Struthio camelus: one gene and its partners. The protein of the gene in region 2 purifies or fractionates together with the protein of the main gene of each other region. This does not show direct contact. Links are inferred from orthologs where the notes say so. Each region holds a gene or a part of one and is shown on either strand. Other genes may lie near its edges.

Region 1 (7,920 bases), on a different chromosome or scaffold from region 2:
CTTAAGTGACTCATTTCAAAGGGTATTGCAAGCAGCACCTTATAAATTCATATAGAACAGCACATTAGAAATTCTATGGGAGCCAACTCCCACTATATCCGACTTTTTTTTGGCTGTTAATTCTAGCAAACTGGTAGATCTGAAGTGTCACTGCTCCTACCCTCACATCAGCTACTTTGTGCTAAATACTCCTTAGAAGTGTCCAGTGGAGCCTTTGTGTGGTGATGTCAATAGTTTGGCACAACAGCTGAAGGCATTATACAAAGACAAATAGCATAACAGAGCGAAATACAGAAGTTTAACCTTCTGATTCCAGAACAAAGGTATCAAAACCTAGACAAAGTAAACTTTCTCAATAATGAAAATATTCCGAAGCTTATTTCACCTTCGGCATCCTGAAAGAAGATAGTAACTGGTAAGGTCTATAGCCTTAGAAAGAAAAACCCCAAAACTACACAACACCCTTTGTACCATAAAAGTAACAGTTGTACTGCCATAATGAAGAAACATTATCTACTAGTAAATAAACTCAGAAGAGTAAACCAATCTGATCAGCAGAAAACAATTAAAAATTGCCAGCAACTAGCATGTATAAGTTTCACAAATGTGTACAAGAGAAGACTGTGTTACTTGTATTACATACTCCTCAAAGCAGGAGTTAGTCAGGCTGTGCAAGTAAGCAACAGCCACCTGGTTACCAGCAACCCTTCAGTGCAACCAGGTGGCTGTTGCCTGGTGATTCATCCATTTTGGCATGTGACAGCAGAAATGTGCAGCGCACAGCATGTGCTGCAAAATTCAGATTGAAAATGCAGATGAGCCCTGATGTTGATACGAGCCCTGAGCTCTCGTACCAAGGATACATATGTTCGGTCTAACCAATCAGGATTCTCAAAGGGGTTTTTATTATGCGCCCATTTTACTAGGGGAGTTAAATATAACAGTATTTAAAAAAAATAATACTACCACCACACATACACAAGGCACAAAATTGTTTGTAAACACAATAATCCCATCATTTAAAGAAGTGGGGGTGTATGTGTAAAACACTAGTTTATTTACAAAATCCACTCTACATGAAGTTTAAAGAATAATATATGACAAGACAACTTTCTCCTGCCTCCCTCACTCCTGTCACAGAGTACAATAGCTTTATTACAATCGGGTGTAAAGGTTTTGCAGACAGTACTCAACAAGGAAGTCCATAAACATGTAATATAAAACAGTGCCTGAAAAAGATTAAATGGCTTCTGGATAGCAACATTTTGCAAGGGTTGTATGACCTATGATACCAACCCTGTCCTAGGGGTGGAGAGGAACCAAATTTTAACAGTTGCTTTTTGTTATTATCTTGAACAGTCTTTGGAAGGCAAATCACAGAAAAACAGAGAATGAATCTCAATAAGCATCTTTCTTGTTGTGACTACTATACTTACACAGACAAAGAGGACTCTTGCAATGAGTTACATTCTTCTGGTTCTTCCACAGAAAGGCCACTACTGAAAAACTACAACCATACATCTTTAACAGGTGTAAGATTTTGGTAACATAAGCCCTTATAAGTAAAAAGCTGGACAACGATTCACGTTTAAGCACCTGATAAGGCTTACTAAACACGAGGGAGGGGGGTTGGCCAAGCATTTTTTTTTTAATTATGAAAGAACAATCATTTTTAGCTCATATGCTGTCCCCCCCTCTCCCCCAAAATGGGTCAGTTGTGAAATAGCCCGTTATGCTCAAAAATAAATAAATAAATAAATAGACCAAGAGGAGGGCTGCAGCTTGAAATACTTGACTGCTAATATCCTGCATGCCATTCCAGGAAGTCCCACAGTGGTTTTTAAGCCTCTGCCCATCGTTGTAAAGAAAGGCGAATGGCAAGGCTAATCAATATCTTGCAGCCCAGCTGTGACCCGGCAAATAAAGAAGTCAAGAAAATAAATCCCACCGATGATCTCTATAATTTAACATTTGGAGGGCAGCAACACCTGGGACGCGCTCCAAGCGGGACGGAGCGGGGCGCCGCGCCGCCGGCTTCCCCGCTATCTGCTCCGCGGCGCGCGCGCCCCGTTATACACGCGCACACAAAGAAGGTCTCCGCACTCCTCGTGCTTTTCCCATAACATACACAACTCCATGCTCAAACGCAACGTAAACACACGGAAAGCGCCTTGCGACGCCAGGGATCGGCGCCACGGCTCGGGCTGCGCCCGTGTCAAACCACGGCTATTGTCCGGGACAAGCCACCGAGGCTTATCAAGCATTAGGGTTTTTAATAGGTGGTGTCAAAAAAACCACAATGAGCCTCCCTAATCGCTTCATAAGTCAATTCAAACGGGCTCCAGAGCCCCGCCGCAGGGGGGGGGGGGGGGGGAACAGGCACGAAAACGTGACTCCCGCGAACGGCACTTTGTCTGGGCTTCGCGAGCGGAGCGACAAAAGCCCTCCCGCGCCAACAAAGCCCGCGGCACCGGCAGCGGCCGCCTCACTCCCGCCGGGGCTCCCGGGCGCCGCTGTCCCCCGGCGGCCGGTCAGGCAACACCGGCCCCGCCGGGGACTCCTGCCGGGGCCGGGCTGAACTCCGCGCGAGCCGGCGGGCAGGGGCCGCGCGGGGGGCGGCAGCCCGCCGTGCCGGCCGCGGACGGGCTCAGGCAGCGGCCGGCCGCCCCCCGTCACCGGGACGCCGCGGCCGGCCGGCCGCCCGTCCACCCCCCGCCGCACGGAAAGGGCGACGCGGCCGCTCGCACAACGCCGCGAGCCGGCGCGGAGGTCGGCGACGGCAGCTCGCCCCGGCCCCGCGAGGTCGCCCGGGCGCGCCCCTCCCGCCGCCGGGCACCCCGCGGGCTCTCTTTCTCGCACTCACCCACGCCGTACTTCTCGTGCTCCGTGGGTATCCACATGCTCGCGGCGCGGCGGCAACTCCTCGGCTCGGCGCGGAGCGGCAGCGGCCGGCGAGCGCGTCCGCCTGCCCCTGCCAGCTGCTCCCGCCGCCGCCGCGCGTGCCCGCGCCTCAGCGGCGGCTGCCCGGCTCCAGCTCCGGCGGCACAGGCATTGTTCTCCTGCGCGGCCGACAGACTGAGGCGCGCTCGCCGCCCAGCCAGTTATATGGCCCCGTCCCGCGGCGCCGGGGAACGCAGCGCCTCGGCGCGGCCGCGCCTCTGCGCGCCCGCGGCCGGCGGAGACTACGAGTCCCGACTGGCCCCGCGCGCCCCGCGGGGGCGGGGCCGCGCCTCACGCCGGGGCGGGGCCACGGCGGCGGCATGGCGGCGGCGGCGGCGGCGGCGGCGGCGGCGGCGGCGGTCCCGTCGGAGCGGGCCGGTGAGCGCGGGGCGGGGCGGGGCGGGGCGCGGGGGCTCTGCGGCCGTTGCTGGCGCGGCCGTTGTGGGCGCGGGGCGCGCGGGCAGCTGGGGGAGGGGCGATGTGGTGCCGCCGTGGCCGCGCGGCTAGAGCAGCTTGCTGCGGGCCGCGTACGCTCCCGCGGAGCTGCCCGGCGGCCTCCTGCGCGCGTGGGAGCCGGTGACACCGGCGCCTCGCCAGCACCGCTCCGGGGTAGAGGCAGCTGTGACCGAAGTTAGGCTGGTTCAGGCCTGCGATTGTTAATTGGTCGGAGCAGTAATTCACAAATGGGTTTGATTAGAGTCTTTAAATATGAAGAGAGTCACGGGTTTGGGCGAGCCTTCCGATGGCGAAAGTCCTTTTTTGGGGGTCCTGCTGATGCCACTCCTGTACTTCGTAAAATATAGCACCCCTCCCCCCCGGCGCCGAGGATTTAGCACGTGAAACCGAGGGGAGAGGAAGAAGCTTCAGCAGTGAGTTATGCTGGAGCTGTAAGGGGTGCCAGAGAGGTGGGACATCCAGCTGTCCAGCTGGGCGGCCTTCTGACCTCCCAAATAAATCTGTATCTCCCCAGGCACATACACGGAGATAAAGAAAGGGGGATGGCGTACAGGGAGGAGCACAAACGGAACAGCTGGGTGACAGTCTGGGATAAGTCTGGCAGTGTAGGAACACCCACTCCTCTACCCGTGATGAGAAGCCTAGAAAAATACAGCTGTGCCCTTCCAGGAGCAGTTTAGGTAGAACTCACCTCAGGTAAAACGCAAGAAGGTCCTAGACTGAACTGATCTTTGCGTGAGGAACCAGAGTAACTGGGACGCAGAGGCAAGAGCTTGTTCTGGTCCTGTGGGAAGGAACAGATTGAAAACAGGGAAGACCTCCAATGATGCGATGCCACTCTGCAGGCCTCGCCAGGCACAAATCATCTCTACGATGACTAAGTCTGCTTAAAACAAAATGTTTTCCAATCAAATCGTCAGTCTCACCAGAAATTTTATGAGATGGTTCTGTTTGAGCTGAACAAAAAATTTTAGTTTTAATTTTTTCACGTTTAAGGGAGGAAAATGGTTCAAATTTGTTTCCGTTTAGGTTATTTTTTACCCTCTAATGCAAACCCTGGTCGCACTGCTGCCAATTTTTGCTGAATTTTTGGGTCACCTATAGCGTGAAAGGTGCAATAGAATTAAAAGTCAGGTGCAAACAGGCAGCTTCAAACCCATTTGTTAGAATGCGTTTATTCTGTATCTCTCCTTCTAGTTGTCAAACTTAGGTAGTGACTGATCTTTTAAGTGACCTTTGTGTTATTTCTGTAGTCTGTATGCTGTTTCTGTGCATAACATAGTATCATTTTAATTATGCTAGTAATTAAAGCAGCGTTTTTGCTTTATTTGTATGTATTGTATTGCGTTCACATAAACTTTTCCTGTACAGAAAGGTAGACCCTTCTACAGCACTTCCAGGCTAGTATAATTGCATCTACAGGTGGAGCTATGTTACTGTAATCGTTAAAAAAGTTAGACAATTGTGTCTGTATAAGTCTTCTGTGTGACACTGTATATAGGGCTACGGAGAAGAAGAGACAATGAGGTTTTTCCAAAGAGGTCTTGTAAAGACATGGGCACTGGTATGAAAAAAACTTATTCCATTGGAATTTAGAGACCTGAACTACATACTGTTTTCCTATTACTAATTCAAAAACTCACTGAACTTTTAATAGCTTTGCTCGGGATTCCCAGACCCACTTTACATCTTGTGGGAGATCCTTTGGAGTCCCTAGATGACAAAATGTGTTAAAGTCACTACAGAAGGAGGACTCCTCCAATTCAAAAGAATAGGACCAATTACTATTGCCAGGCTAAATAAACTTCTGTCCCAGCCTGTGGACTTCCATGTGCATCCAAACTAGCCTTGCCTCTGTGAGAGGGCTGGCAACATGTTGGCTGGGAGTCATGATGTTCTGCCATTCATAACTGCTGTCCCTCATGTTAACCATGACTGACTTCAGCGTGTTTGTATTAGGCTCAGAGCCTATCTTTCTCCTTCCCTTTGACAAGGACAAAACCAGCAAATAAGAGAAATATCCTTTCTAAAATTATTAATTTAAAATTTAGTCACTTAAGATAACAGATCTTATAGTATAAATCTAAATACCATGCCCTAACGTTTACCATGTCTCCGATTTTGAGAAAATCCCAACTCTTCCAGAAGCTTCATTTCTGCAAAACTGTTCACTCTAGCAACCTCTTGTGCAACTTGTATGTGCCCCTGAGAAGGTGTGTCACTTCTTTGGAGACAGGATATAGGAGAATTAGATATAACACTTTCTCCTGACTTCCTATTTCCTATTTACAGGAAAGACTGCGCTTTTATATTCTAATACAGGACTATGTGGCTTTCTTATTAGTTCTCTCCAGCAGCCCATTATGCAGTCTGCATTAATTATGCTACCTGTCAGCATTTCTTAACAGCATCTGTCAGTGATTTCTAAAATGAGGTTTCTTCCAGAAGTGTGTCTTTCATAGCTACATAGACATAGTCTAAAAGTTATGATTTCCTACTCAGGGTTTCAATGTGTTCAAATGCCTTTTAATGCTGTCTTCTTAGAGCATACCATGTCAAATCATGGCATGTTATTCTTATTCCTTCCACAACTGTCTTGTGTCCCACTTCAAGGGGAATTAGCTTCACTGTGGAAAACTCAAGTTTGACTGGTCTTGCAAAAATCTACGTTTTTCATTAACTGCCTAGAGGATGTTTCAGTGAAAGTTGTTTTGTATCTGATGCTGTCAGCCTCATTTCTTTATTTCAATTCTAAGTTCCCTTTCTTAAGAGTTTTATGAGCACTGCCAAATCCAATAGACTGTGGGACCCAGGGATTTCTCTTTCCCGGTCACTGAAGTCCAATCCAGAGTACTCTCAGACCCAGGAGGTCTCTCTGTCTTAGTTGGTGGATGCAGCTGCTGCTGTTTCTGTTTGCAGTTCAGGCCAATAGCAAGGCTGAGCATGTACTCAGAGGCATGCACACCTGCACAAAACTTAAATGGCTGGCCGCAAAGACTGCCACAGAACAGTACCTTTATCACTCCCTCCTAAACACTGAGCCTGCTCACATAAACAAGAACATTGTCTGCCCCATCTTGTTCCTTCTCTCCAGCTGATCAGGTCTGATGTTCATAGAGAAAACACACCTTTACTCTCTAGATTCTCAAGCACTCCCAAGTTCACAGATCCCTTAAATGTCAGCATGGGCTCTCTTCCTCTGTGTAATATCCATGCCTGGACCTTGGACCTCTTCCCCGCCTCCTGTCTCAGACCTTGATTCTTTCCAAATGTGGATCTCTTCCTACTCACTAGCTAGTTCAGCTTGATGCTAGCTGTGAATTGCACATACAGACACAAGATTAAAACTTGCTACGGAAGTACAAATACACCGTGGTCTCTCCAGTTGCTGCGCTTAAACCTTTCACGTGCACGCCCCATGTACCTACGTCGTGTGTACAGCCACTTCAGTTGTTGGCACCTTGGCGTATAAGCCTTCTGGGCCATGGTCCCTCCACAGCAGCTGGCACCCAGCTGACCTGTCAACACACGCTCCAGTCTCTCCAGTGCTGGCACCCAGATCTATGAGCCCTATGGCCTGCAGTCCCTTCCTCAGTTGCTGGCAGCCAGACCTCTCTTGCGTGCCAGTCCCTCTGATTGCTGGAATTTAGACCTTGCAGCAATCATGCACATGGGATAGAGAGATTACACAAAAATTAGAACAGGATTTCATAAGATAGGACAGACAGCAGTGATCAGGTGCAGGGCTCAGGAGTGTCCTGACTGGCAGCCTGCTTATAGGCTCAGCTGTCCACGCTGTTGCTTTGGTCTGACAATTTCTCTCCTATTGCCATTTCTTCTTTTATTCATCTTACTAACTGTCATACACAAACTGCTTTTGTATCCCTTTTCCACTCCTGCCATTCCATGCTTTTTTTAGAAAAAAAAAAAGTTCTATGCCACCTTTAATTCCTGTGTATCTCTTTAACCGCTCTCACCTTACCACTTTCCAGACCATCTCTGTGCCTGCTTCCAACCCTTCTTGCCTTTCCACATCTGTGATCTCCCATCACAGTCTCTGCATGTGCTTCCACAGGATTAAGCTTCATCAGGCCTGATAGAATTCCAACAGCAGTAAAGAATGTGAGGCAACACTTACCAAGACATGAGTGCTGAATTTTGGAGGGAGGGGAAGAGTTTCATTCAATGGGTAGGCATTATGAGCTCCTTAAAAGATGTTGGTATGACATAGGTTAATCATTATGAACAGCAACAACCAGCAGTTGCACCTGGATTATAGGTTCAGTGTTTAATTCTGTAAGTTCAATACAATTCGTTTTAATACGATTACAGAAATGAATCTCCTAAAACAGTATTGCATGAAAATGTTTGTTATCATTTGTTATGATCTATAAGTACAAATGTAGTCCGATAGTCATTTTAAATGGTTACCTGACAAGCACACAGACCATAGGGAGGACTGGAAATTATTTTAGTTATGATTGGTAAAATGATCTCTTATATTTGAATAGTAAAAAGGTAAAA
Region 2 (7,196 bases):
GCTACATTCTTGTCCAAAACCTCATCCACAAGGAAAACCATGCAAGATTTGAATTCCTTGTGTTCTGTATTTTATTGCTGTAAAATTAAAGATAACCGTGTCAGGTTGTCATCAGTAGCTTAACACTAACAAACATCAGTTTTGCAGAGAAAAACCTCATGTGGAACCTGTGGCATCACAGCCTCTGCAGAGAGCTACGGGGACAGTAAGAGAATCAAGCCTGAGGGGGACACATCTCTCCAGTCAGCCTGTCTACTGTAATTCACACACAAAAAACCTCAAACCTCCGTACAAAGAGGCAAAGCAAGCCCTCTCTACCACACCCCTCCGATTTCCTCCCCAGACTCTGCAGCAGTGTAGATGTCTCTCCAAATCATTGGCTGAGTATGTTCGCTCCTACTGTGTGGCCTGGCTTCCTGTGCCTTTGGCATCCAGCTCGGGCCTTCACCTCACGACTCCTTAGAGGCCTCCCAAAGGAGCCTCCCGCCGCTCTACGACAAAAGTAGCTTTTCAGAGGGGGAAGCCTGCAACGGCCCTGTCAGGGAGCCCCCCTCCCTCACCCCCCACAGCACCACCCAGCCATGATCTGCCTCTGTCACAGCACCGGGGCCCCAGGCGGCGCTCAGCATCCCCCCCCCCCCCCCAAAAAAAAAAAAAAAAACAGATCCTCCATCCCTGGAGGACTGCATCCCCCCAGCACTGCTCCCCCTCCGCAGCAGCCGGGCAGAGACGGAGGGACAGAGTCGCCGCCGTGGCGGCAGTGTTCCTCCTGGCCGCCGCAGGGGCCGGGCGGCCGGCCCTCAGGGCGGGCCGCCCTCTCAGGTCCTCCTCAGAGCCAGCCCCGTCCTGCCGCCGGGGCGGATGCTCGGCTTCGCGCGCCACCCCGGCCTAACCAATCACCGCACCGCGTACGGGCGGCCGCGCGGGGTCTCACCAACCAGGCGCCGGCTTGTTGAGGGGGGCCCGAAGCGCCGCCTCGGGTCCCTCGCGCCCTGGCGGGGTGGGGGGAGGGTGCCAGTGACCCAGATGGCGGCCCCGGCGGCGCGGGGGGAGGCCCGGCGGGCGAGCGGCTGCCCCGCCGAGACGGCCCGGCGCGGCGGGTGAGTACAGGCCGGGCGGCGCGGCGCGGCGGGGCGAGGCCGGGCACCGACCCGCCGCGCAGCGGGGCCTGGCGTGTCGCCCCCACCCGGGTCGCCACGGCGGGGGAGGCCGGAGGCAGGGCCGGGCCAGGCCGCCCCCGGGCTCCCGCGGCGCCGTCGCCTCCGGCCGCCCCCGGCTCGGGGCGGGGAGACGCCGCGCACCCGGCTCGGGCTCTCCTGCCGCCCCTCGGCGGGGGCGGAGGCCGCCACGCTCCCCTCAACCCGGGGCACGCGTGGGTGCGGCTGCCCCTAGCCAGGGGGACGCGCAGCCAGGGCGTTTCGGCAGCTGTGGGGGCTACCGGGGCCCCGGCCAGTCTGCTTATTCGAGCCAGGCTCCTGCACACCACAGTATCTCCTCCCAGGAGGAAGTTGGATGGGAAGTCACCCCCCCGTGAGAGAAGTGCCCCCACTGCCACACACAAAAAACCCAAAGCAAGCAAGGGAAACTGAAGTAGACCTAACAGGAGTTTGCATAACACACTGAACTAGCTTTCACTGGCTCATTGCTGTCATGGCACGCTTCATACTGTACATGAAGGTTTCAGGGAAAATTCAAAATTCTGAATAAAGTGCCCTTAACCTGCTTACCTAGATCATTTACAAGCTTAGATGGCAGCCTGGGATAATGCCGCCATCTGTTAATACAGCCGGTTGTTTCATTTTGCTTCACTCTTGCTCCTACCTCCTTGCAGGCTTTTGATCAGCAGGCGTCTATGGCATTCTGCTTTGCCTCAGACTTCCGCTTGTTTTCCTCTCCAAAAGTTGGGATCTCTGTAGTTCCTGGATTATGTTATTACTGTTTGTCAGTTGTTCAGAAGCTTCCTCCTTTCAGGTTAATACAAGCCATTTATTGATAAGGAAAGGCCTAAAAAAAACCCCAGTTAAAAGTCCCATTACATACCGTACAAGGAATTTATCTTAGACAATCCTGTCTACCCAAAAGGTAGACAAAAAAGGAGGGAGAACCTGCCCACAGGTGTAGAGGGTGTTCTGGTTATGCATTTAAGTCTCAATCCACACAAAAAGACACTCATACTGTAAAAAAGTTTCTTCCAAATTAGTCTTATCAGTTACCAAGACAGCTGCAGATACCAGCCTAATGCATTCACCCATCTTCCTGAGGCAGCTGCCAAGTAATACATACTATTTTCTTTTTTTTTTGAGGGAAAGTTTTATAGCATGCTTTTCAAAAAAAGCTATTATACTACAACTGCTGTAGTAGAATAAGTTCATATTTGAACATACAGCTCATACACAGTGAAATACAATTGTGTAGTGCATAACATTTATGAAATACTTTAGGTTTTTCCAAAATTTAATTCTTTATGTAAACAAAGTGTTACACTTTGATGCCCACTGCACTCTGTTAAACTAAAGGGCTTGCTCAAGTATCATAGCAAAGCTTGAATAACCTGGCAAGCATAGTTGTTTTTCTTTCAAAAGAGATCTGCTTAATAGAAGCGTATAAGTACTTAGGCTATACTGGTTTTATATAAGATATCCTGTGCTCTGTGCAGTAGTAGCTTATATTTCTTTGTTCTCTTTTACCTGAGCACATCAAAAACCTTTGCATATACATGTTTCTTAACTGTGGCTTTTTAACAAACACATTATCAACATTTTTAATTAATGAGAAGGTTAAGATATTTGTACTTTTAGCCTAGGTCACAAAAATATATATATTAATACTACAAGTAGAACCAAGGAAACAACCCTTTTTCCTCCAATATGTTACATCTCAAACACATCAAGTCTCTATAACTTTGAGGACAGCCTTACCTCTGTTACATTCCTATCCAGACTCTGACCATGAGAAGCCAGAGCAAGCACTCCTGAGAACGAGTTGCTGTAAACAAAAGGACATCCCAGAAGCAGGGGGTGGGTTGTGAGGGCTTATATACCCCTGTGACTTGGAGGGGATTGGCCAGGAGCAGGGCTGGGGCCAAGAAGGTCTGGCCAAAAGACAGGTCCTTTTGTAGGGTTGGCCAGAGGGAAAGTCCTGCCACCTGGCCTGCAAGGAGCAGAGTTTGCTCTGGGTTGGTTGGATTTATCTGTGATTATATATGGGACCATGTGTACAGTAAATAGGGTACAGAAGTTGTTGATCACAAAGCTTTAACGAAACTTGTTGTGAGAATGGCAAAATACACGATCTACTGAACTAGTCAATGCCTTTCCTACATAACAGTTGCGCTTTGTTTTGAATGTATGTAGGAGCTTGATCTTACTAATGGCCTTCAGGTGCCGTGCCTCTTCTGGGGAACTCCTAGAGAGCACCAGCCCATCAGCACTGCATTTGTTAAATATCTCCAGGTGGCAAACACTGCTATAAGAGTGTTTCTGCCTACCTCTACTGTAAACAATTATGCTTATAACAGCCTTACTTATAAGCTGGAATTAGGAGGAAAAAGCTGCACTTTTATCTGTGGGCCTCTGTAGGTCAGCAAAAATTTCCTGATTTTCCAGGAGATCCTATACATGCAATTTGGGCTTTTAACAATTTTATTTTGGGCTGTTACCTTTTTGAGTTTTTCTGGTGTATCGGTACTTTTGTTAATAGACATAGTTATACAATCCTGGTTACCATAGTTACTAAGTCATGACGATGAATGACATCTGTCACTTCTGCAGTGAATTCTTCCAAACATCTGCTGTAAAATGTTTTAGTTCTCATTTAAGGCATCATCCCACAAAGCAGATGATGTCTCACCACCGCTGCAGAAGCTGGAGGGGCCCTGATGACATTCAGATTTGGGCCTTTTGTTGCATTTTTCCCTTCAAACCAGGCTGAATACATGTGGCTGTGGCGGGCTCAGAGGCTGTGAGAAGGAAACAAGTACCTGAAGCAGAAAAGATAAAAGCTATCTTTAATCCACAAGCTCTCTTTTTTTTTTTTTTTTCTTCCAAGAAATGAAAATGAGCACAGCAAATAACTTTCAGATTTATTATACCGTAATATGAAACAGTATTGGCCTCTGTGGAGACAGTAAGATAGATTAAAGTAGACTGATCATTGTTTTGATCATATCTGTAAAGTTACTTCTTAATTCACCAGAACAAAATTAAAACAAAAATAAATATGTTCTTTTAATTGTGTTACATCTGTTCTTTTAATTGTGTTGCATCCTGTTTTACCAATCATAATCTTGCAAGTAAACCTATGTTGTTACTGAGGGCTGCATACCTGAGATAGAAATGGGTGCACCAAAGCTATTTCTTACTCCCCTTCCTCCCTCCTTGTTGCCCAGTTTCTGTTTTAAGTCCCCACTGTCTTTTGGAACAACAGTCTGATGTGTGAGTCCTTCGCTGAAGAAAGAAGGAAGAAGTCAGAGCTTAATTTTCCTGGAAAACTCTCTGCATATAGGATTTGAATAAAAGCTAATATTACCCTAGAAAGGCATAATTGTCAATTGGAAGCCAAATTTTATATTCATCCGAAGTTTAATTCTGTTACTGATTCAAGATAGCACTCTCTTAATTCCTGTCATTTTAGCAAGAGAAATGAAGTCTCTCTGAAATACACTATGGAGTCTTCACAGCCACGAACAACTGAGGCATTTGACCACCAGTGAGTTGATAATACTTAGCACATACACAACCCTAATTCGGAGGGTCTCACTTATTTTACAGATACTAATGAATTTGCTTCACAGTGTCTCTGTGAAGCAGATATGTATATTCCTCCTGTAACACAAGAATATCGAGGCAGAGAAAGTATAGCTTGCCCCAAATTTGACAAGTTAGGTTCTTCACAGGCAGATGCTGAAGACAAAAGTGTAAGTGCCATTTCTCTTGCTGTAATTACTTTGTACTCTCAGTGGGTCTCAAGTCAATTGACAGTGTCACTTTATGCACCTTTGGAAGCCCATCTGTCTGCAAATGTGCCTATGCTGCAAATTATCAGGCAGACATCAGCTATTCGTGAGTAGCAGGACCGTATGGTTCTGCTGATATCAAAACAGTCAGCTCTAATCTAAGCCGTTCTTTGCAAGGCAGCTGCTTTTTCTGTTATTATCTGCTCCCCTGTGTTTCTATTTTGGGTGACAGATCAGACTTCTGTTCTTGAGGAATTCACTTTTGGCAGCAAGAGATGTTCAGACTCCCCATCATTTTTTATAGATTCATCCATGTTGGGAATTTTCAGTAAATAACATGAAAGTATCAGCGATGCACCACTTCATGGAAAACACTATCATTAAGTTGATTTTTTTTTCTTCCCAAAGACTTGGAGTGTGTGCTGCTTCTGAAACACAGTTTTCTTTCCAAGTGTCTATTGGTTGTTTAATTATCTAATCTTTCTTTTTTACTAATCATGTTATAAATTTTGTACATTAGGTACCATGCTATATAGTTTCCTGCTGAATTTCAGCACTGATATCTCATATTGATGTTGTGAGGTTTAGTGGGTTGTGGTGCTTTGAAATCCTTGGATGAAAGATCTGAAAGCATAGCATTTATTTATTATCTGTAGTTTCCATACGACAGTGTTATTCTAAAGATGATTAGGTATATGAATGTTTGAATAGACCCTTGCAAAGCTCTGCTTCTGATATTCAGAAGGATGCTTCAAACACTTGATAATCACATCAGGCTACGAGAAGTGCTCTTCCCTCAGAGCACTCCTGAGCAGAAGTGAGTTAAGGGTGATAGGAATATTTTTTTTAATTTGGAAAGATCTGGATTACTGAATGCTGGTTCTAATCGCCTGAATATGCTGAAATTTGAACGCCATATCAGCCAGTTCTAAATTTCATTGGCTTCTAGGCATCAATGTACAGCATCCTGAGGAGAATGGAGGGAAGACTGAGGAAAACTGGGTGCAGTCAGAGCCTATGGTGTCTGGTTAGAACAGCCACAGCTTCAAGCATCTCTGTCTGTGGCTTAACACAGCAGGCCCACTAGCATGTTCCCCCAAAGCAATCCCACTTAATTTCTGCCCTGCTGTCTGGCAGAGTTTAATGTGTTGACAGCGTGAGTGACTTACTGCCCAGGCAGACAGAAGGGAGTTAAAATAGCCTTGCTGTTGGGTAGGGGTGATGGGGAGATGCATGTGCGAGAGTGGGAATTAGAGGGATCCCTGAAATAGAGGGGAGGGGAGCACCCAAGGGCCTTGTAGTGGGTGGAGCAGATGAATGCAGGATTCTGCAGGTCTCTGCAGATCTGTGCATTGCCCGTTGCCTACAGAATTCATGAATTGCTTCAGCTCCTCGTTCTGTGAGGCTGTGTTTTCTGATTGTGCACAAGGTGTCTGTAGTGCAGATAGGTGATTTTAATTGGCATGGCATAGTTCTTGCAAATATTCTTGCAGGCTTTTTACTCTGATAGAGCCTGTATTTGGGGGATGGGGGGAAAGTAGGTACATTACATTTTAGATGGCTCCAGTAAGAAACCTAGTGCAGAAATTTAGGAAAGATTGTTTCTCATTGTAGCCAGTCTTTGCCTTTGGCTACAGTTGTGCTAATAATAGGATATCCTAACATACCTAGGACTAGCTTTGTTTTGAATTTTTGGCTCTTAATAAAAATCCTTTTAAAAGTGTAATTCTACTCTGAAAAATGAAACTTTTTGCTTGTTTTGTATATCCAGATTGGCACAGGAAAGACGTGGCTTCTTTGCTTTCTCTGTTTGAAATGTCTATAATCTAACTATTGTTCACACCTTAAATAGGGAAGATGAGAGAAACTGAGCTGCTTATGGGTTTCAGATCAGTTGGTTCAGACTTTGGAGAAGCCCTAAGCATGTATGATGATGAGGCAGTGCTGGATGTACCACTCGTTACTTTTACAAGCTGTTATTACCTTGTTCATTATAACAGCTTTTGAATTTCTCTTGGCAGGGAATATTCCCTCTCTGCAACCAGTCTTTTGTATGTCTAACACCCTTGTTGTATACACTGCTTCATAGCACTGAAGGACTTCAGGGTGGTGTTCCTAAACATGCAAATGATATGCCTTGAACTTTAAGGAGTGGTGTGTTTCACGTTCAAGATCACATTTCAGCTTGGTGTCTAAAACAGAATGTCACTCACTGCATTGCAATGAAGCCTCCTGCCCAGCT
Region 3 (7,963 bases), on a different chromosome or scaffold from region 2:
CATGTTTTTAGGTACATCAATGGCATTATTAAATAGCGGTCAAACTTATCTATGCCATGGGCTTTTAGTAACATTCAGTCAGACTAATCAGAAGACTTCAGTCAACTGCAGTCTATAACTGCATGATTCCAGCTTCTTTACCACCTCTTCCAGAAGTCCCTGATACCTATGAAGTACTCAGTTCACTCACTCAGATTTAAAAATAATTCTGTAAGCCAATTACTGAAGCAATAAAGATGTGAAAATAAAAAATTGTTTTCAGTTGCATTCACTCACTATTCCATGTCTATTTTTAGACTCCATCTCGACTTGGAAATGAAGCGATGAGTAACAGCAATTCCTTTTCCACTAACTTGCCATTGCTTAGCAGCAACAGTACATCCTGCACTTAAATGAGAAATACTGCCTCCCTCTTCCCTTCCTCCCAGAAAAATCGCTATTAACTATTAAAGAAAACCACATGGAAGGTTTTTACCCTCTTCATTTCTCTTTTCTTTCCTCACTTCAATCGTTTTAAATAGCATCTAAGCATGGCTTTGTGAAAGAAGCATGGCAAAAATACATTTGTTCTTAGTGAAAAAATTTCAGCAATTACAATTCTTGTGATCACCCTAATCTGGCCATCCTGCTTTATTTATATGCAGATGAATATTGAAAGTAATGAGAATATCATGTCAAAGACCAGCACTCTAGTTTCCCCGCTTCCCTTTAAGTTATTCCCTTTAATTTATTATGCAGAAATAAAGCATAATGAGTTTGAAATAGAAAGTGTTAAAAGGACAAAAAAAATGCAATCACTTTCAAAGGATTTACTGTTGTTTCAGGTAATACATATTTCTCCTGAGATGCCTTGCCGATTAGTTTCTACAACCACATTTTCCACTTTTTTTTAAAAGCACTTTCTTTCCTTGATGCTCTACGAAAGCAACGGCAAAGCTTACTGACCAAACAGTTGAAAGCTGTATAAACATGCTGTCAAATACAGAAATGCAAAAATACAAAAAAAAGTTTCCATACAGAAGTGTCATGACTTATAAGAAAGGCTAAAAAATCACATGTATGCAATTTGACTATAACAGAGGTAAAGCATTAGGCTATTGATCAGATATGAAACAGCAAAAGTTGATTACAAAATCTAGTATTTAAAGTATTTAACAGAAAGGCTATTTTAAAAATCCCACATTTTCCACCAGTCCAGGATACCCTTTCTATAAAATGTTTAGCTTAAGAGAACAAGGCAGACTCACCAGTACAATGGATCGATCTATATTTAACAGCAGTCATATTTCTAAGACAATCGTTTAACGAAAAGGTCCTGTCAGCATATTTAACTCTTGAATGACCACGTGAGGACGTTGCATTACGTGAAACGACCTTAGAATTACACTGTTACTCGAATGGGGCTCTTAACTTCCCATCGCCTCTCTCTTCCTTTCCCACATGCTTGAATATTCCGGTGTTGGCAGATCGCTGCCGAGGCGGGCGCGGGTTTCCCACGGGCCCCGCCGCTCCCCGCCCCGGCCGGCCTCGCCGCTTCCCAAGTCCACTTCCTCCCCCGCCGCCGACCTGCCAGCGCTCCCAGCGCCCCGCAGCCTTGCGCAACATCCGCAGCCTCCTCCCCGCAGCTCAGACAATCCCTGATGCGGCACTTCACATCCAGATTTTTTTTTTTTTTTGTTCCCAGACCATTATCAAAGGCTGAGAGCTCAAAAGGCTAACGGCGTGCTTTTATCCCAAACATCGCCAGATAACCACGAGAGCTACCAAGATACGCAGAGCCTGCCATCCTTTAGCTCTTCTGCGGGTCAAATTGTATTTTCATATCAAGTGTTTAAACAATACTGAAAAGTGTCAGCGGCATCTGCCCAATCAGAGTTATTGTCCCCGGCTTATATCTTCTATTCAAAAGATAAACCACCTCAGACATTTTAGCAGCCCGACTAAGCAGCTAAAATAAAACCAGGAAAAAGACCTAATTCTCCATTTAAATTCCTCCCCCTCCCCGCCCAAGCGCACACGTTAACCAAAGGCCGACGGTGAACTGCTCTGGAGGGAAGAAAGGACGAGGGATACAGCCGGGGCTGCGATGGGGGGATGGGGACCAACGGGAAGATGCGTATTCCTCCGAGGAATATTTAATACACTTAACATCTCTCCGCGGAAAGGATAAGAGCGTCAAGCAGGCAGCTGCAGAGACGAATAAAGGGGGGAAAGAAACGCCCGCTTAGCCCCAGCTGACACGGTACCAGGCAAGCCGCGAGGGCAGGGGCTGCCAGGCAGGGCAGGAGCTCACAGCCCGCCCCGTCCCCTTTATCTCCGCAGGAAGGGAAGCGGGGGGGGGGGGAGGAGAGGAGCCGCCGGTTAGTTTGGCAACGGCCGGTTACCGCGATGAGGGCGAAAGCTCTCCGAGGAGCCCCCCGCCGGGGAGCGGGGCTGGCGCAGGGGGCTGCGGCGGCGCGGCGCCCCGCGGCGAAGGCGGCGGCCGCCCCCCTTCCCCCCCCCCCGCCGGGGGGGCTCACGGAGAGCCGGCGGCAGCCGTCCGCGCCCCGCGGCGACACAATAGTGGGTCACGGGCAGGGAGGGAAGCGATGCTTCTCCCTCCGCTTCCTCCCCCCTCCCACCCTGACGAGCAGCGGGATCGGGCAGGCGAGGCCGAGGGCAGCGGCAGGAACCGGGCAGCGGCAGCCCAGGGGGGTCGGCACCTCGCCCTCCCACCCCCCGGCCCGGCCGGCGGGACCCTCCCCAGCCCTGAGGGGAGGCGAGAGCCCGGCCCGCGCCCCGCCGCCGCCGCCGCCCCTCACCATGAAGTCGCTGGCGAAGTTGTCCTCCCCATTGTGGTCCGTGTCCTTCATGGCCTGGACGCGCCGGATGAATTTCCTCAGGATCTCCTCCTGGCTCATCCTGCCGCCCGGCCGAGCGGCAGCTCCCGCCCCGCCCGCTCCGCTCCGCGCCTCAAGCCGCCGCCGCGCGAGCCCGTCACCGACGCCGCCGCCGCCCCGGCCTGCCTGCCCCGCGGCCGCGCGCACGGCTCCCCACCCCGCTCACGGCCGCGCGGCCGCCTGCTCCATTCTCTCCTCCTCCTCTTCTTCTCCCCTCCCTCCCTCCCTCCGCCCGGCCCGGCCCGGCCCGGCCCGCCCCGGGAGCCGCCACCGACACAACCACACGACGAAATCCCCACCTCCTCTTCTCCCTCCCCCCGCGCAGGCGCGCCACCAGCCCCGCTGGCGTTTCCTACTCCCGCCCAGCCGGAGAGGGAGGGGGTCGGCCCGCCCCTGCTCCCCGCCCATTGGCCCCTCACGCCTCAGCCCCCGTCTCATTGGTGGCGGCGCACGCTAATCACCGCCTCAGCCCAGCCCCGAGGGGGAGCACCACTGGGAAAGCGGGGGAGGGGAGGCCTGAGCGCGGCTTCTCTTGGCCCGAGTACAATAGCGGGGCTGCCGGGCGCCTACAGCTCCCAGGCTGTGGGGCTGCGGCCGGCGCCGCGCGCGGCATGCCGGGACCTGTAGTCGCGCCGGGGCGGCGGCGCCCGCCGGGGCAGCCCAGCGGCGGAGGCGGGGCTGCGGCGCGGGTTTGTCCGTGTTACCGTCTCGCTGAGGGTCCCCGCTGAAAAGCCCGGCGGGAAGTGGCCCCTCCGCGGGTGGGGGGAGGCAAGGCTCAAGCCGCGGAAGGAGGCCGAGGCGGGGTGCAGGGCTGCTGCCGCCGCCCGCCCCGGAGGCCGAGCGGGCCGCGCCGCTGTGGTAAACCGGGGCGGCGGGAAGATGGCGGGGGCAGCGGGCCGCGGCCCCGCGCCGGCGGCTGTTTTCCCCCTTTTCTGTGTTTGCGCTCATCCGACGAGAGGCGGCTGGCGGCAGCGCTGCCCCGTGGGTGTTTCTAAGGCGCTGGGGGTCCGGACCGTTCCTTCTTCAGTGGGGACCTTTGTCGTCGCATTCAGAGTATTGCGGGGAGTCTAGATCTGGTTTAAAAAGCTCTGACAGGAGGAGGGGTTTTTTTTTTCTTTCCTCCAAAAAATGCTATGTTGTTGCGAGGGAAATGTCTTCAGGGGCGTCGATCCTTTTTACTTGAAAATATGTTTTGCTTTCTTAAAGTTGGTAATGTCAAGACGTTTAGAGCCAGTAAGATGAAGGAGTGTTATTTTGGCCCTTCTTTTACATTAAGAAGTTAATTTATTGTGATGTGTTATTATGATTAATAACATCATGTCTACAATGTTAGTTCTGCTTTTATATCGGGCTTAATAAACTCAGAAGGGAAAAATGTAAATGTCAGAGTGAAGCAGTCCAATCTTAGCTAAAAATACCTAATGCTTTTCAACAAAGGTTTCAAAGTTAAGGTGTTCAAAAAAAGCAGGAATTTTCACCCACTGTACGTGCAAATCCACCTGTATTCTTTTTTTGATAAGATAAAATGATTAAACTCATTAAGATATTGTCCACAGGTTTAGTTCCCTGATTACATTTATAGCTTCTGCTTCAGGAAAACAAAATAATTCTATGTGTGTATATATAGCCTTATAGCATAATAAATATACTTAGTAATGTTTTTAAGCATCATTTTATTGGTAAAGAGCTGCACAGTCTTTATTGATGTAGTTAGTACAATAAAATTTTGTAACACAGGCTAATAAAGAAGCTCTATGTGAGCAGCATAACCCCATAAAGGCATTTCTACCAAATCACTCATTCTCTACTACTAATTCTCACCCACAGTAGGATGTTGCCCTCACAGCTGAGCAAGCAAAACAGTTTGTGGGACCATACACCGAGCCAGGTCAAGGAGCTGATTCAGCTGAAATACAACCCAATAGAAAAGGTATGGGTTTTTTTTCCTCCTCTGAGATGATACCGTTAAGCTGGCTTTGCTACTGAAACAAACCTACATAAAACTTGGCCTTCCTATTGAGATCTAAGATATTGCCATCTTTGATGACTGCTAAGGATTACCACCTTGATAACAGAGTCAGCAAAATGGCGTGTTTTCCACCCTCAGCCCAAATCACTGTCCATCAACTTAACGTATATTCCTAGCGAAGGGAAGTTTTGAGCCAAGGCAAAGGACTATGAACTATGCAGCTGCTGGTGCATGGACACACATTTCTTTCTGCTGCAGAAGCAATCATCTGTGGCAGAGGGCCAGGCTGGAAAATTGGGAGGGTTTGTGTTCTTGCATGATTTACTAGAGACTTCAGCCTCTTGCAAAGGGCTTTTTTTTAGCAGTTAGTGGTCTTGGAGGCTAATGCATGAGGGACAGAAGGACACATCAAGGAACTGGGAAAGGGAGTCAGTGTTGTGCTGAGGTACTGAGTCTTGAGGAGCTCCCTTGTGCATTGAAGCCTCAACGCCACTGCACAAAAGTAGCGTGAATATCCAACACAATCACGTCAGCTGGGAGAGCCTGGTTGCCCTTTCATGTCCTTTCCTTCAGTCTCTGTGAGATAATCAGCCCTGAAGAGCCACAAAGATGCCTGCTTTTCTTTAATCTCTCTTTTCCTTCTCCTCTTCTTCTCCTCTTTTTCTCCTACCTTAAAGCAGCATTAAGGGGAAACAGGAAAAAAAAAGAAAAAAAAAAAAAAGGACATAGCCATAGATAGAAAGGGCACAATAGTGATCACCCGGAAGGATAGATATGACTTGGAAAGACCAGTAAGGATACAACAAAAACAGCAATATGTAAGTAATAATAGGGACAATAATGTGATGATTCTTCATATGATCTTTTCATACCACTTTAATTTCTTTTTGCTTCAGGAAAGTTGCTTAATTTGCTCGGTAGTTGCCTGGCAAACCTGTTCAACGGGCCAGAAGGCATGAAACTGTAAAAAAATGATCGTTGGGACTAAGCATGGATGAAAAGTCTTGAATGTGGTATGGTCTTCCTCACTCCACTCACTCATTCACATGATAAGAGTTACAGAGGACTTGAGGGTGACAGAGCATTGGAACAGGTTGCCCAGAGAGGTAGTGGAGTCTCCTTCCCTGGAGATATTCAAAACCCATCTGGATGTGATCCTGGGCAATATGCTCTAGAGGTCCCTGCTTGAGCACGGAGGTTGGACTAGATGATCTCCAGAGGTCCCTTCCAACCTAAACCGTTCTGTGATCAGCAGAGGAGGAAAGGTCATAGTTTCTTGCATTGGTTCTTATGTCGTCGTTGCCTTACATCAAAAATACACACGATATTGATCTGGACTGGTTCATAATCTGTTGTTGCGAGTTTAAAACAGTTTATTACAGTGCAAATGTAACAATGACCTTTCATTTGAGTTACCTAATAAGAAGAATATACAATCTCAAAAAAAATAAAAAAAAAAAAAAAAGCCCCCCAAACCAGGCCTGTGTCACCAGCCAAAACAAAGGCATATACAAAACAAAGAAATTTGAAATACCTGGGTGGAGAACTTTACTTAGCATTGTTTGCATAGGCATGTGTACGTGTTAGAGTTGCCAGATATTCCTGAGCACAAACCCAACAGCACTAGTTTTACCCGGTTGCGCTGGGCTGTCTCATCTCTCTGGCGTGAACACAGAAACCTAAACTTTCAGCAGCAGAAACAGTGCTTGAACCCAGACTTTTGATCTGAAACTCAAACTGTCTGAGCTAAACCCAGACGTCTGACCAATCTAGCATGTGTGCATGAGTCTATATATGTGTAAAAGTAGGAGAGAGGCGGAAAAAGAGAGCAAGACACAGGGTGAATTACTCACCCTGCAGATAGAACAGGAAGCTGCAACCAAAATCTGTAGAAGTACATGGTGGTTGTATCTTAACAATCCATACAAGTATGGTCCTTGGAGAGACTCAGGTAGCTCACCTGCAGCTTTTTTGCTATTAATCTCATTTTGCCTTCCCCCACACAACTCCAGCTGCTTGCAAGGACAGAGGGCAGCCATTTTTTTGTTCAGAGATAGCTTCTTCTGTCCCTACAAGGTAAGCATGTGTCATTAACTAGTAAATGTGTTTCGTGGCACAGACAGCATTCTTGTGCCCAGCCAATGGATGGGTGTAGGAAGAAGTAGCAGGATCCCAAACTTCCCAGCTTGCCAAGCTTCAGAGTTTGCCTGAAGACTGTGGTGGGGCATAGTCTCACCGCAGAACTGTCTGCAATATCAGTTTGGGCTCTGGTATGGGCTTGGACTCATGCTCAAAAAATAGCACAGATCCTACCAAAACTCTGTTCCCTAAAGAAATCAAAGAGAGCTTTTGAGCTGCGGGGGAGGCTGAAAGAGCCTTACAGCTCTGAGTAAGGGCATCACCTTGTTTGATTCCTCCTTTCCTCTGCAGAGCAAGGCTTGGTATGTTCCTTTTAAACTGGCACGATTACATTACAGTAATAGTTGACCTCATCACTTATTTCTCCTCCCTTTCACAATAACTTACAAATGCTCATATTTTAGCTAGCTGTTTGGAGTAACAGTATATTAGTAACAGTGGTGTGTAATTATTAATATTACTGTAATTATAATTCAATTATGATGAATATGTCCTGGACGTGAAATCCCAACAAATTTTATCTATACAGAGTGTCTGAAAAGTATTTTTATAATCAAGATTATTTAGGATAAAAATTATATGCTTTCATAAGGTTTAAAATATGCTTTTGCAATGTATTTAGAGTTGGTTGGAAATTGTCTAAAAATGTGGGTTTCCAATGGGAAATGCTATTTCTGCAAAAGTTAAATTTTTCACATGAAACAATTTTGCCAGTTTTCCTGCTTTCTGACAAAACCAATACACTGTTATATTTACAGATGTAGAAATATCTTTACCATTGAAGACAGTACAATTTGGGATAAGGACCCGGCACATGCAAGAACTGGCACATGGAGTATAATCGCCAGGTAAAGTGACTGCAAACATAGTGCTGGAAATCAGTAGAAAAGGAATCAAGAACAAAAGAGAAAATGTCCTTTTGTTGTTGTATAAATACTTGAGGAATCCACATCTTCAAGAGTTTGCAGTTTTTCAC

The links.
Region 1: the proteins of GRB2 (region 2) and DOCK4 purify together in Homo sapiens (co-immunoprecipitation; 4 studies listed by BioGRID and IntAct, counting the BioPlex papers as one, with this or other methods). This does not show direct contact. The link is inferred for Struthio camelus from reciprocal best matches to the Homo sapiens genes GRB2 and DOCK4.
Region 3: the proteins of GRB2 (region 2) and PTPN12 purify together in Homo sapiens (affinity purification with mass spectrometry; 3 studies listed by BioGRID and IntAct, with this or other methods). This does not show direct contact. The link is inferred for Struthio camelus from reciprocal best matches to the Homo sapiens genes GRB2 and PTPN12.

The regions. Positions count from the first base shown.
Region 1 is NC_090942.1:31,277,323-31,285,242, reverse strand, and holds the start of DOCK4 (dedicator of cytokinesis protein 4), read right to left. Parts: upstream 3,013-7,920; 5' UTR 2,901-3,012; coding exon 2,864-2,900; intron 1-2,863. Other genes in the region: ZNF277 (zinc finger protein 277), read left to right, coding at 3,261-3,318. UniProt on the Homo sapiens protein: Functions as a guanine nucleotide exchange factor (GEF) that promotes the exchange of GDP to GTP, converting inactive GDP-bound small GTPases into their active GTP-bound form. Involved in regulation of adherens junction between cells.
Region 2 is NC_090960.1:8,334,830-8,342,025, forward strand, and holds the start of GRB2 (growth factor receptor-bound protein 2), read right to left. Parts: upstream 3,004-7,196; 5' UTR 2,919-3,003; intron 2,005-2,918; 5' UTR 1,822-2,004; intron 1,101-1,821; exon of another isoform or gene 965-1,100; intron 1-964. UniProt on the Homo sapiens protein: Non-enzymatic adapter protein that plays a pivotal role in precisely regulated signaling cascades from cell surface receptors to cellular responses, including signaling transduction and gene expression.
Region 3 is NC_090942.1:13,931,952-13,939,914, forward strand, and holds the start of PTPN12 (tyrosine-protein phosphatase non-receptor type 12), read right to left. Parts: upstream 3,013-7,963; 5' UTR 2,901-3,012; coding exon 2,802-2,900; intron 1,550-2,801; exon of another isoform or gene 1,248-1,549; intron 1-1,247. UniProt on the Homo sapiens protein: Dephosphorylates a range of proteins, and thereby regulates cellular signaling cascades. Dephosphorylates cellular tyrosine kinases, such as ERBB2 and PTK2B/PYK2, and thereby regulates signaling via ERBB2 and PTK2B/PYK2.